2 linked regions of the Arabidopsis thaliana genome follow. The protein of the gene in region 1 interacts with the protein of each later gene in a pairwise test. Each region holds a gene or a part of one and is shown in the gene's direction. Other genes may lie near its edges.

Region 1 (6,416 bases):
CAGGCCAAGTTCTTAATCTATCTATGTCTTCGGAAGGAGATAAGATTCATCCAGAGAGTAGTCCAAGGAACGTTGATGATCATGAGAGTCAAGAAAAGTCTAGAACTTTCTCGAAGAATCATCCGAGAAATGTGAATGTGATGATCAGGGAAGATAATCATCGTACTCTCAAGGATAAGCTGATGGAAGCTCGTGTAGAAAGTCGACGTTTACGTTCTTCTTTGAAACCAGAGTGATAATTCCGGTTCGAGCAAATAATTAACTCGTGTCTTCTCATGTATGTTGGATTAATTATTTGGTTGTGGTTAATATTAATGCTCGTTAGTCGTTAAAAAAACTAAATATTTTAATTGTCCCAGTGACAGAAACCAATTTCACATGAAAAAAGGAAAAAGCTAATTTTGTCAACAGTTCACATATATTGACATTGAACACAACTCCGGTTCGACAAAAAAAAAGAACACAACTCCGGTCAACTATTTTTGGCAGTTGTAATTAAGAACAAAAAGATGTAACTTAAAGAAGAGACAATTTAACCGATTAGTTCAAATCTTTGGTCATCAAAAATTCCACAAGTTTTAAGAAGACTGATTGGTGATTAATAAACGTTAAAAAAAAAAAAAAAGCCAAGTCAAAGATGTGTCGGTAATAGCGATTGACCAAACTCTATCTGTTTTAGAGCATCATTAATGGTAGTTTCTTAGCATAATTTTAATATAGTTTTTATGAATATTTTTATAATTGATTTTGAAAATTCTGAAGTTAAAAACTTGGTTAAGAGATTGAAATTTAGGCAATATGCAATGGTGGAATCTTAACTTGGAGTTCTTAAAAAGAAAATTTGAAAAAAAAAATAGAAACATTATAATTTTAAAAAACTTAATAGTTATTACAACTCATAAAATTTAAAACATACATGACATAAAATTTTAAACAAATATGACAAACAATTCTATTTAATACTTAAGTTATCTAAAAATTAAGATTAATTAAATTAAAATATTATATTTAAGACCTAATTTATCTAAGAATTAACTTAAAAAACATTAGATTTGGCTCTTATATAAGAGCTATTCTTAACCATTAATTGAATTATAACATTAAATTTAAGATCTACTTTATCTAAAAACTAACCTAAAAAACTATCAATAATGATGGTCTTACGAATGCCTAGATTCTCTTCAATATACAAAAAGTACGGTTTAGTTATTGTTTGGACATTTGAAATCTAACTAATTCTCTTTTTAGTCTTAATGCAATGGAATTGCAAATACTCCATAAACCATAGTGTTGCACCCTAACCGTATCTCTCTCTAAAAGAGAATCTAGTCAACAAGATTATGTTTAATCTCTAATTAATGACAATAAGATTTACTGCCAAAATAAATAAATAAATAATAATAATAAGATTTACTGCCATTTATTCTTCTATATTTTTCAATTTTTTATTTACACTTGTTCCATAATCGTCCCAAGGAGTAGACTAGGGTTGATGCTCTTTCATCTATAAAACGACTTAACACAACATGTTCTTTCACATCATCATCATAAGCCTCAACAATCCATCACCATACATATTAGATTCTCCCTCTTTCCATAGTTTATTTTTGGTTCGTTTTATTGTAAAAAGATATCAAACTCTTTTTGGGGGACATTCGTTCTTCAAGTGTAACAGAAGGAGCTCCCTTCCTCCAAAACGAAGAGGACAAGATTTGAGGAACTAAAATGCAGAATCTAAGAGTTCATGTCTTCCTCATAGAGAGTGCGCGGTGTTAAAAGCTTGAAGAAAGCACACTTTAAGGGGATTGCACGACCTCTTAGATTCTCCCTCTTTCTCTACATATCATTCTCTTCTCTTCGTTTGGATTGAAGGGAGCTCCTTTTCTTCTTCTCTTAATTAGTCTCTGTTCTTCAAAACTTGGTTTCGATCTAACTTGTTTTCTTTTTCTCTAGTGCATTTTTTTTTTCAGGTTGTCATGTTTATTTGCAGGTGTTTGTGGTTGATGCTTGCATGGAAGCAATATTAATGTTGTTTATTTACGAGAAGACGTTCGTGTGCCAATTTGAAAATATGATATTAATGGAAATACAGATTAAAACTGACAAATGTATAAATATTTCTTGTTCCTTGTTTTAATTTTAACATTAGTCGTGTGTTTGTCGTAAATACGAAGGGGACATTTCACCTAAAAAAAGAAAAAAATATATTCATCAAAACTGGTCTTGGATACGTTTTTAGTTAAAACAAGAACAATAATAAAGTTAGGTTTAACTTCGATCAGATCGAAACAAGTACACTATAATTGTTTTGGTTTGAGAAAATATACCATCGATGGTTTCAAGAAATAATAGCAGCTGGGTTGCTTGTAGTCGATACGTTAAGTCGTATCATCTCAAATGATCCCTAGTAGTACACAACATAGTCAACTGGTTTGTCATGTGTTGGCCTACGAAGAAATGTATACCGGCCGGATTTCAATTTATAAATTAGTCCTTTTTTTTTTGTCAAGTTATCATTGCATAGCCAAGTTTCACTCGGTCAAAATCTAATTAACAAAGTCTGTAAAACGTTGAAGTAATTGTATTTTATTAAAAGAAAACTCCAAATTAGACTTTGATTCCAACGAATATTTAACGACATAAAAGGCATTGCCGTTTGTTGAACGAGTTGTCTTCTTACCAAATTTGACGCTTTCCAACTAAATACACTCCTAATTTTGCCTATTACCTTTTTCCTCCTCTAATTAAGTAAATGCTAAATTTCCCCCAAATACTAAAAATCGAATCCGATAAGTCAAAATCAAAATCGTACCTACGCGATTTATGCAAAATACCGGAAAAAGAACCAAAGTGCTTATTACAATCAAAAGACCAAACCGGTTAAACAATTAGTTAGGCTGGCATTAACGAACCTCTTTGTCTTTAATTAGCCTTTATCCGTCACCGCCCTGTTACCATAACCGTTCAACGTCGACCCGCTCTTTGTTTCAGAAAAAAAAAACAGAGAAAGACTTTTTTAGTGTTTCTTTGTCATTTTCGTTCCTCAAAAAAACCTTTTCGAATTTGACCCTTATTGTTATCCTGATTCTTCTGCTCGGTTCTCGCCGGAGAGAAGACACGGAGAAGAGGGTTTTCGAAAAGGAGGATGAGAGGTTCCAATAACACCGATCTATTTGACCCTAAGACGGAGATGGATTCCAATTTCTCTCGCCATGGTTCTTCCTCCGAAGGTGATTTTGGTTTCGCTTTCAATGACAGTAACTTCTCCGATCGTTTGCTCCGGATCGAGATCTTGGGTGGGCCTTCGGATTCTAGGTCTGATGCTGAAGGATGTACGAGTATTGCCGATTGGGCTCGTCATCGCAAGAGGAGAAGAGAGGACAACAAGAAGGACAATGGTGGTACGTTTGATTCCCTATCGGTTGGAATCTCAGATTTTGTTGTTGTTTTTATGAATTGTTCTTATGGTTGGTTTAGGGCTTTTGGGTTTAAATGTTTAAGAAACTTATACGTTTTGCATTTCCAGTTGCGATTTCAGACATTGTGGCATGTGCTGAAGAACAGATTTTAACCGATAACAACCAACCTGATATGGATGATGCTCCTGGTGGTGATAATCTTGACGATGAAGGAGAGGCAATGGTTGAAGAGGCTTTATCAGGTACCGTTCTAAATTTCACATTGTCTCTCGAGTGACTGGGTTTGAATTTGTGATACTTAACAATTTTCAGAAGAGCGTTTTTTGTTGAAGTCATTTGTCTGAAACGTGATGGCTTTGTTTATTAATGGTTTTTGTAGGTGATGATGATGCATCTAGTGAGCCAAACTGGGGTATTGATTGTTCTACTGTTGTTAGAGTTAAAGAACTGCATATTAGTTCTCCTATCTTGGCCGCAAAAAGCCCCTTTTTCTACAAGGTATTAACCTTTTTTCTTCTTCTATGTTCTTATTGTTTGCTCTTGTTCATCTCGCATGTAATGCTATCTTTTGCTTCTTGTTTTCCTTACCCTGTTGTAGCTGTTTTCTAATGGAATGAGGGAATCAGAACAAAGACATGTAACCCTTAGAATTAGTGCACAAGGTACGACAATTTAAGTCAAGCTTTTAATTCATTTCTGCTATTCTCCAATCTCTTTATATTGGCTTCAATTCTCTACTAGCTCTCTGTTGGCTTCTTCTTGTTTTGGATTCTTTATGCCTCTTGTATTAACTCAGTTGCTGACTTTGATTTACATATGATATACGATATTAGCTTTAAGGGAGTCCACATTGTTGATTTCTCATGCTCTACTTTTATGTGTATTGTAGAGGAAGGTGCTTTGATGGAGCTTTTAAACTTTATGTATAGCAACTCTCTAAGTGTCACAACAGCACCCGCTTTATTAGATGTTCTTATGGCTGCTGACAAGTTTGAGGTTGCTTCCTGTATGAGGTATTGTAGTAGACTACTGCGAAATATGCCCATGACCCCTGATTCTGCTTTGCTCTATCTTGAGCTGCCCTCTAGTGTTTTAATGGCTGAAGCAGTGCAACCTCTAACCGATGCAGCAAAGCAGTTCCTTGCCTCGCGCTACAAGGATATTACCAAGTAAGACTCTCCAGTGGTTTGAAATGCATTTACTCTAGTGTTGTATAATTCTTGTTCATGTGTTACCATCTTGTACAGGTTTCATGATGAGGTTATGGCCTTACCATTGGCTGGAATAGAGGCGATACTATCGAGCGATGATCTCCAAATTGCTTCTGAGGATGCTGTTTATGATTTTGTCTTGAAATGGGCAAGGGGACAGTATAGTTCATTGGAAGATCGTAGAGAGATTCTGGGTTCACGCCTTGCACTCTACATCCGCTTCCCATACATGACGTGTCGAAAGCTGAAAAAGGTACTAACGTGCAGTGATTTTGAGCATGAAGTAGCATCAAAGCAAGTATTAGAAGCGCTCTTCTTCAAAGCAGAAGCCCCACACAGGCAACGCATCCTCGCAGCTGAAGGATCGGACTCCATGAACCGCCGTTTCATAGAGAGGGCTTACAAATACAGACCCGTAAAAGTGGTGGAGTTTGAGCTTCCTCGCCCGCAATGTGTAGTGTACCTGGACTTGAAGCGAGAGGAATGCGCAGGACTATTCCCTTCAGGAAGAGTCTATTCTCAGGCTTTCCACTTAGGAGGTCAAGGTTTCTTCCTCTCAGCACACTGCAACATGGACCAGCAAAGCTCGTTCCACTGCTTTGGGCTATTCCTCGGAATGCAAGAGAAAGGGGCTGTGAGTTTTGGTGTGGACTACGAATTTGCGGCAAGAGATAAAAGTACAAAGGAAGAATACGTAAGCAAATACAAAGGAAACTACACATTCACAGGGGGGAAAGCGGTTGGTTACAGAAACCTTTTCGGGATTCCATGGACTTCGTTCATAGCCGAGGACAGTCAACATTTCATCAATGGCATTCTCCATCTCAGAGCCGAGCTCACCATTAAACGTTCCTCAGACCTGCACTGACTGTTTTCTTCTCTCTCTCTCTCTATGTCGTCACATTTAAGTTGTATAATCTCGTTATGTAGCAGCTCTAACCACGAGTGTCCTTTGTACAATAATTGCCTAAGGAGCAAAAGTATGGCTTAAAGAGTACCTCATTCTGTAAATTCTTTGATTGGATTTTTTTACTTTTCTATATGGGTCTTTATAAATAGTCCAAGATAGAATTTGGGCCTAGCTTTTGAGGTTAGTCTTAAAATATGGGCTCAAGGCCTACTACGATGCGTAATGATGAAGCTAAATTGCCTATAGTGTGAACATTAGGCTTTTATATTCAAAGTTCAAACAATGCGGCTATAGCAATGGTACATCGAGGAAATAGAATGAAGTGACAAGGATAATTTAGGAAATGAGGATAGAGGAATTGAGTCCTCGTCACATGGGGCCCACATAAATGCGTAAGTAAGACTATCCGCTTACCAGACGGACACGTCATTTTGTCGGGACACGTTTGAGCCGTTGGATGATTAATCTCCTTTTCTGACTTATCGACCCCACTTTTTTTTTCCACTACAAAATATTGATGGCCACGTCAGATGATTCGAAGTTATATAAAACACACGTTTTTATTGCAGCTTAACCGTCGATTTTTTTCTAATCGAGAAACCGAGATCAACGGTCTATATTCAAAGCTGATGTGGTCTGTACCTTTGCTTACGTCACCGAAAACCTAAGTTGAATAATACTAGTACTAGTATTATGCTCTCTGATTTCTTTCTACAGTACACAAAATAAAAATAAACAAAAATAGAGAGCCCAGACAATATTTACTACATCACCCAATGGATAACCGACACGTAGATACATCCATGTGAGTCGCATTTTGTAATGTAGGGACCACTTCGTGGATAGAAGCTCTTTTACGCCAACGCAAAAAAAAAA
Region 2 (5,704 bases), on another chromosome or scaffold:
GTGTTGTTATAAGTTTCATAGCTTCCTTGTTTCTCTATAAAGTTAGTCTTTTTGCAACTATATAACCTTGTTAGATATGGTTCTGCAGATTGTAGAATACGCAACGAAGAAAGATTTTACATCTCTTATTGTTGTTCATACAAATCGTAGAGAACCTGGTTAGTTTTCACTGAGTTTCAAGTTTTGTGCTCTCTACTGTATATGCTTTGTTTCAAGCTTTTGCTATTTCATATGTAGATGCGCTTCTTATCATCGGTTTGCCAAATGGTCCTACTGCTCATTTCAAATTGTCAAATCTTGTTCTAAGGAAGGATATTAAGGTATGTAAGCTAACCATTACTCTTCTCTACATCGAGTGTAGATTAGTGATCACTGAATTGGATGTTAAATGTAACTGCAGAATCACGGAAATCCTACAAGCCATCAACCAGAACTGGTTTTGAATAACTTTACAACGCGTTTAGGGAATCGTGTTGGGAGGTATAGTTTTCATAGTGTTGTTGACTTGGTTTTATGGTCTCTTTGAATTTCTTGCTGATGTTAGATTTTTCCTTTTTTCAGATTTTTTCAATCACTCTTCCCTCCGGATCCTAATTTCCGTGGTAGGAGAGTTGTAACATTCCACAACCAGCGTGACTTTATATTTTTCAGACATCACCGGTACATAACTTCACCTTTTCTTCTTCGAGTTGCTTTTGCTCCATTCTCCAATAAAACTTTTTATTGAACAAATTTCAACACTATCCAGTTACATATTTGAGACAAAGGAAAGCAAGAGTGATAAAGGAAAAGAAGAGACAATAAAACCTCGTCTTCAGGTCAGTTTTGACCATGTTGAATCAAAAAGTAATCAACATTATCAATGTTTGTATCATTAAACTTTGGATTTTTAGGAATGCGGTCCTCGATTCACGCTTAAGCTAGTTACTCTACAGCATGGAACTTTTGACACCAAAGGTGGAGAATTTGAATGGGTTCATAAGGTAAAATCACCAGAAATGGACACGAGCAGCTTCATTGCTGTTCTTTAGAGTTTTTGATGATTTTTAATTTTATTTTCTGATGTGTTTTTTTTTTGTATTTCATTACAGCCTGAAATGGACACGAGCAGGAGAAGGTTCTTCTTATAAATTCTGCTGTCTTCCGAGTTTCACCAAGTTTTGTGTTTATTTTGCATTTTCGAATTTTCCCTACCTCCGTCCAAAATTGTATGTCTTTAAAACTTCTCATTTCTTTTTTCAATATAGCCATGAGCCATCGAAACAATCGTAAGAGTACTTGTTTCAACAATATAGGCCCTCGTTTTTTACTAAGCTATATATAGTTGGTTAAACTTATGATTGTTTGGTTTGGTATATATCGACATCGAGCATTTGAATCTACAGCAGTAATATTGGATTTTGTTTAGTAGTTAAGTGGACCTTTATGTTGCATAATTAATAGTTTTACGATCATCAGTTCATCACCATAATAATAGGATTAGATTTGAGGATGTGAATGGTTACGGTGGTTGAGACGGATAAATCCGTTTGCGAATTAGACCGTTTTTGATTTACCATTTATAAATTAGAGTATGTAAGATTATAGATTAAGAAAAATAAAAGAAAATCGTCGCGGATCAATTATAGACCGTTTTTACCGCCGTAAGCATTCAAATCCTGAACATCTCTAATGATAATGTAATAGGATTGACAAAAACAAATCTAAAAATTAATTACGATTATTTAGGTGTAGTATAGAACGTAATTACGTATATGTATGTTACTATGTTGTCAATTATGTCGGCTATAATATTCCAGAAAGATCCTTCGGAAAGGAAAAAAAAAAACTGAAACTTCGGTTCGAAGTTCAAACAATTTTTCTTACTGCCACGTGTTACTTCATACACAATTAAAATATTTTTTTGTCCCTCTCATTTGTCAACGTTTAGGGGAAAAACATTAATATACTTTTACTGCATTCCGCCACAAATATCTTTCTTTCTTTTTTTATGGTTCTTCTTCACCCCAACTGTATTAGTACTGTTCGTCTTTCAGAAAAAACAATAATAGATAGAGGAAAAAAGAAAGAAACAGAGAAGTGAGAAAAAGCCCTTAAAACTCAAACACTAAAAAATTTTCAGTGTCGATTCAAAAAGTTTTGTTATTTGATCTGTTTCTGTGTAAAAAAAATGGTGAAAGATCTGGTTGGGTATAGATTTTATCCAACGGGAGAGGAATTGATAAACCATTATCTAAAGAACAAAATTTTGGGTAAGACTTGGCTCGTCGACGAAGCCATTAGCGAGATCAACATCTGTAGTTACGACCCAATTTACTTGCCTTGTAAGTTTCCTCACTTCAAAATCATCATCGTTGTCTCATCATCGGTCATTTCTAATTCTGGATTTGTTTGGTTGTTGTAGCTTTATCGAAGATAAAATCGGATGATCCTGTGTGGTACTTCTTCTGTCCAAAGGAGTATACTTCTGCGAAGAAGAAGGTAACGAAGAGGACTACAAGTTCAGGGTATTGGAAAGCTACTGGTGTTGATAGGAAAATCAAAGATAAGAGAGGTAATCGCGGCGAGATTGGGATAAAGAAGACGCTTGTGTATTATGAAGGTAGAGTTCCTAAAGGTGTTTGGACTCCTTGGGTTATGCATGAGTATCACATCACTTGTTTGCCTCAAGATCAGGTATAATAAACTCAGAGTTTCTTGAATTTGAGCTTCTGTGTTAGTTTGACTTAGCGTTATGTTTCTGTTAGTTGATCTTCTTGAATTGGATTTGGGTTTGATTCATCTGTCCCTGTGTTGGTTGCTATCTTTATCCCAATTTGAGGTTAAAGTCATGTTCTTGTAAGAATAGATTTGGGTTTGACTTATCTTTTCCCTATGATGCTTAGTACATCAAGTTTAGGTTCTGTGTATCAGAGTTTGAAGTGTTATATATAGAAGTTGTGGCCTAGAAGGCTAGTGTATTTGCTTCCCTGTGTTGAATATATTACTGTAATCTCCCCTGTGTTGGTTGCTATCATTAGTACGTTCTGTGTTGTCACAGAGTTTTAAGCGCTATGTATAGAAGTTGTAACCTAGTGTTCTTACTTCTGCCAAAGCTTGTGATTGTTTGAGTTATGTGTGTTTGATTTTTTGTTTTGTTGGCAAAGAACTTATGTGTGTGTGTACTTTTGGAATTTGTTCAGAGGAACTATGTTATCTGCCAAGTGATGTATAAGGGTGAAGATGGAGACGTCCCATCTGGTGGTAACAACTCGAGTGAGCCGAGTCAATCTTTGGTCTCTGATTCGAATACTGTCAGAGCTACGAGTCCCACAGCGCTTGAGGTGACTCCAGTTTCTTTATTTGATAATCTCATGTACTTGATTCGTTTACTCAAAACTCTCTTTTACATTTTCAGTTTGAGAAGCCAGGTCAAGAAAATTTCTTTGGTATGTCTGTGGATGATTTGGGGACTCCAAAGAATGAACAAGAAGATTTCTCTTTGTGGGATGTACTGGATCCAGACATGTTATTCAGTGACAATAACAATCCTACTGTGCATCCACAAGCTCCTCACTTAACCCCGAATGATGATGAGTTTCTCGGTGGATTGAGGCATGTTAACCGAGAGCAGGTTGAATATTTGTTTGCCAATGAAGATTTCATATCCAGACCAACCTTATCTATGACCGAGAACCGCAACGATCACAGGCCAAAGAAGGCTTTGTCAGGGATTATTGTTGATTATAGCAGTGATAGTAATAGTGATGCTGAATCGATATCTGCAACGGTAAAGCAAATCACCCGTTTTCTTTATCGTTACTTCTGTGCTGTAATCTCCATTCTCACATTTTGATTATATTATGTCAGAGTTACCAAGGAACATCAAGTCCAGGTGATGATAGTGTTGGTAGTTCGAATAGACAATTTCTCCAGACTGGTGGAGATGAGATTCTATCGTCTTGCAATGATCTACAAACCTATGGAGAACCTTCCATCAGTAGTAGCACCCGGCAATCTCAACTCACACGAAGCATCATACGACCAAAACAAGAGGTTTTGCGTTGCTCTTATGTTGATTCTATATGATTTCAACATATGTTGGATATATAAAGATAATGATTATGTAACTTTCCTTCACAGGTGAAACAAGATACATCAAGAGCGGTTGATAGTGATACATCCATAGACAAGGAGTCATCTATGGTGAAGACAGAGAAGAAGAGCTGGTTTATTACAGAGGAAGCAATGGAGAGAAACCGCAACAATCCACGGTATATCTATCTCATGAGAATGATCATAGGCTTCATTCTCTTGCTGGCTCTCATTAGCAACATCATATCGGTGTTACAAAACTTGAACCCGGCGATGAAGTTTGATCGCGAGAGATAGACAAAAGCTAGCAGATTGATCAAAGCACTCGTTTTTACTTTGCTTTTATTTATTTCTATTTTCTTCCGAAATTTTGATGTATATATGTGTGTGTATGTATGACCAAGAGGTATGTCTTGTACCTAAAGTTAAATAAAATTTAGGGTTTGAAAATTTTATAACATTTAGAGCGGGTCCATAGTTCAGTGCCGTGGTGGAGCATTAGACTGCTGATAAAGAAAACATTCGACAGAGACCAGTGAATGGTTTGAAAGGTTTCTCAAAGATTTGGTTTGTTGATAATTAAGAGAATGATTACATACCGGACAAGGGACTGGTCTAATGTGATTGATACTTCGATGATCAATCAATCAAATATTACTTCGATGATCAATCAATCAATCAATCATATTACTTACAACTATGTAATATGATTCTATGAACCTTTTTCTTGTTTTTTGTAAACTTTAATCCCTTATCTTGCAAGCCAAATCCATAGACATATATTTTACAAAATTAGTAGTAGTACTATATTGAAGTAGAGAAAGTAATAACGCCATGTCGTCGTCGTCGATGGTGGCGGCTATAATTTCCGAAAGATCCTTCGACTCAAAATACACAAAAAAAACAAGGAAAAGAGAAAGGTTCATACTTTCGTTCGAAGCTCCGACAATGAACCGTCAATAATTTGCCACGTCTTCATTCTCATTCACAATAAAAATAAATTTTGTTCCTCTCATTTGTCAACCTTTTTTGTTTTTGTTTAAAGAATTTGTCAACCTATTGGAAAACATTTTGCATTCAATTAAAATCTTATCGCTAACAGTTTTTTGTTTTTTGTTTTTTTTTCAACTATCTTATTTATTAACAGTAGTAAATTTGTTATAAAATACATAATATTACATTTCTTCCAATACATAATTGATATCTAAATATCCGATCGTTGTAAATTTGGAGTTTCATTCATCTTAAAATGTGTGAAAAATTACGGCTGATGTGTGACAAACACAAAAGATAAAAAGTTACTAAACACAATTTTTTTACAAAATTAAATTGAAACGAAAAAAAAAAATTTAACAAAAAACTAAAAAGAAAAAACATTTTAGAAATAGACACAAGTCATCAACACGGTTTCGGCGCGAGTAGACTTCACGGCTTTTGTTCTTTACTTACTGAGAAATTACTAAAATTTGGTTTTTTTTTTTTTTTCAAATAGAAAAAAACTATAAATACCATCACTCGCTATCTCTTCACCAATCACTTCCTACTTGTATTTGAAAAAGAAAGAAAAACAGAGAGAGAGAGGGAGAAGCCAAAAAAAAAAACAGAGAAGCAGAAAAAAATAAATTCCTTC

Evidence for each region.
Region 2: the proteins of LRB1 (region 1) and NAC069 interact in a two-hybrid assay, tested with the Arabidopsis thaliana proteins (one large-scale study listed by BioGRID).

The regions. Positions count from the first base shown.
Region 1 is NC_003071.7:18,992,966-18,999,381, forward strand, and holds LRB1 (BTB/POZ/Kelch-associated protein), read left to right. Parts: upstream 1-2,679; 5' UTR 2,680-3,145; coding exon 3,146-3,401; intron 3,402-3,526; coding exon 3,527-3,661; intron 3,662-3,798; coding exon 3,799-3,917; intron 3,918-4,017; coding exon 4,018-4,081; intron 4,082-4,308; coding exon 4,309-4,588; intron 4,589-4,666; coding exon 4,667-5,498; 3' UTR 5,499-5,707; downstream 5,708-6,416. Other genes in the region: AT2G46250 (myosin heavy chain-like protein), read left to right, coding at 1-236. UniProt on the Arabidopsis thaliana protein: May act as a substrate-specific adapter of an E3 ubiquitin-protein ligase complex (CUL3-RBX1-BTB) which mediates the ubiquitination and subsequent proteasomal degradation of target proteins.
Region 2 is NC_003075.7:672,692-678,395, reverse strand, and holds NAC069 (NAC domain containing protein 69), read left to right. Parts: upstream 1-1,950; 5' UTR 1,951-2,170; coding exon 2,171-2,324; exon of another isoform or gene 2,325-2,404; coding exon 2,405-2,676; intron 2,677-3,182; coding exon 3,183-3,323; intron 3,324-3,397; coding exon 3,398-3,769; intron 3,770-3,849; coding exon 3,850-4,035; intron 4,036-4,122; coding exon 4,123-4,371; 3' UTR 4,372-4,534; downstream 4,535-5,704. Other genes in the region: MEE49 (Ribosomal RNA processing Brix domain protein), read left to right, coding at 89-158, 238-320, 401-480, 562-660, 749-818, 894-983, 1,092-1,130. UniProt on the Arabidopsis thaliana protein: Transcription activator activated by proteolytic cleavage through regulated intramembrane proteolysis (RIP). Involved in salt stress response during seed germination and seedling growth.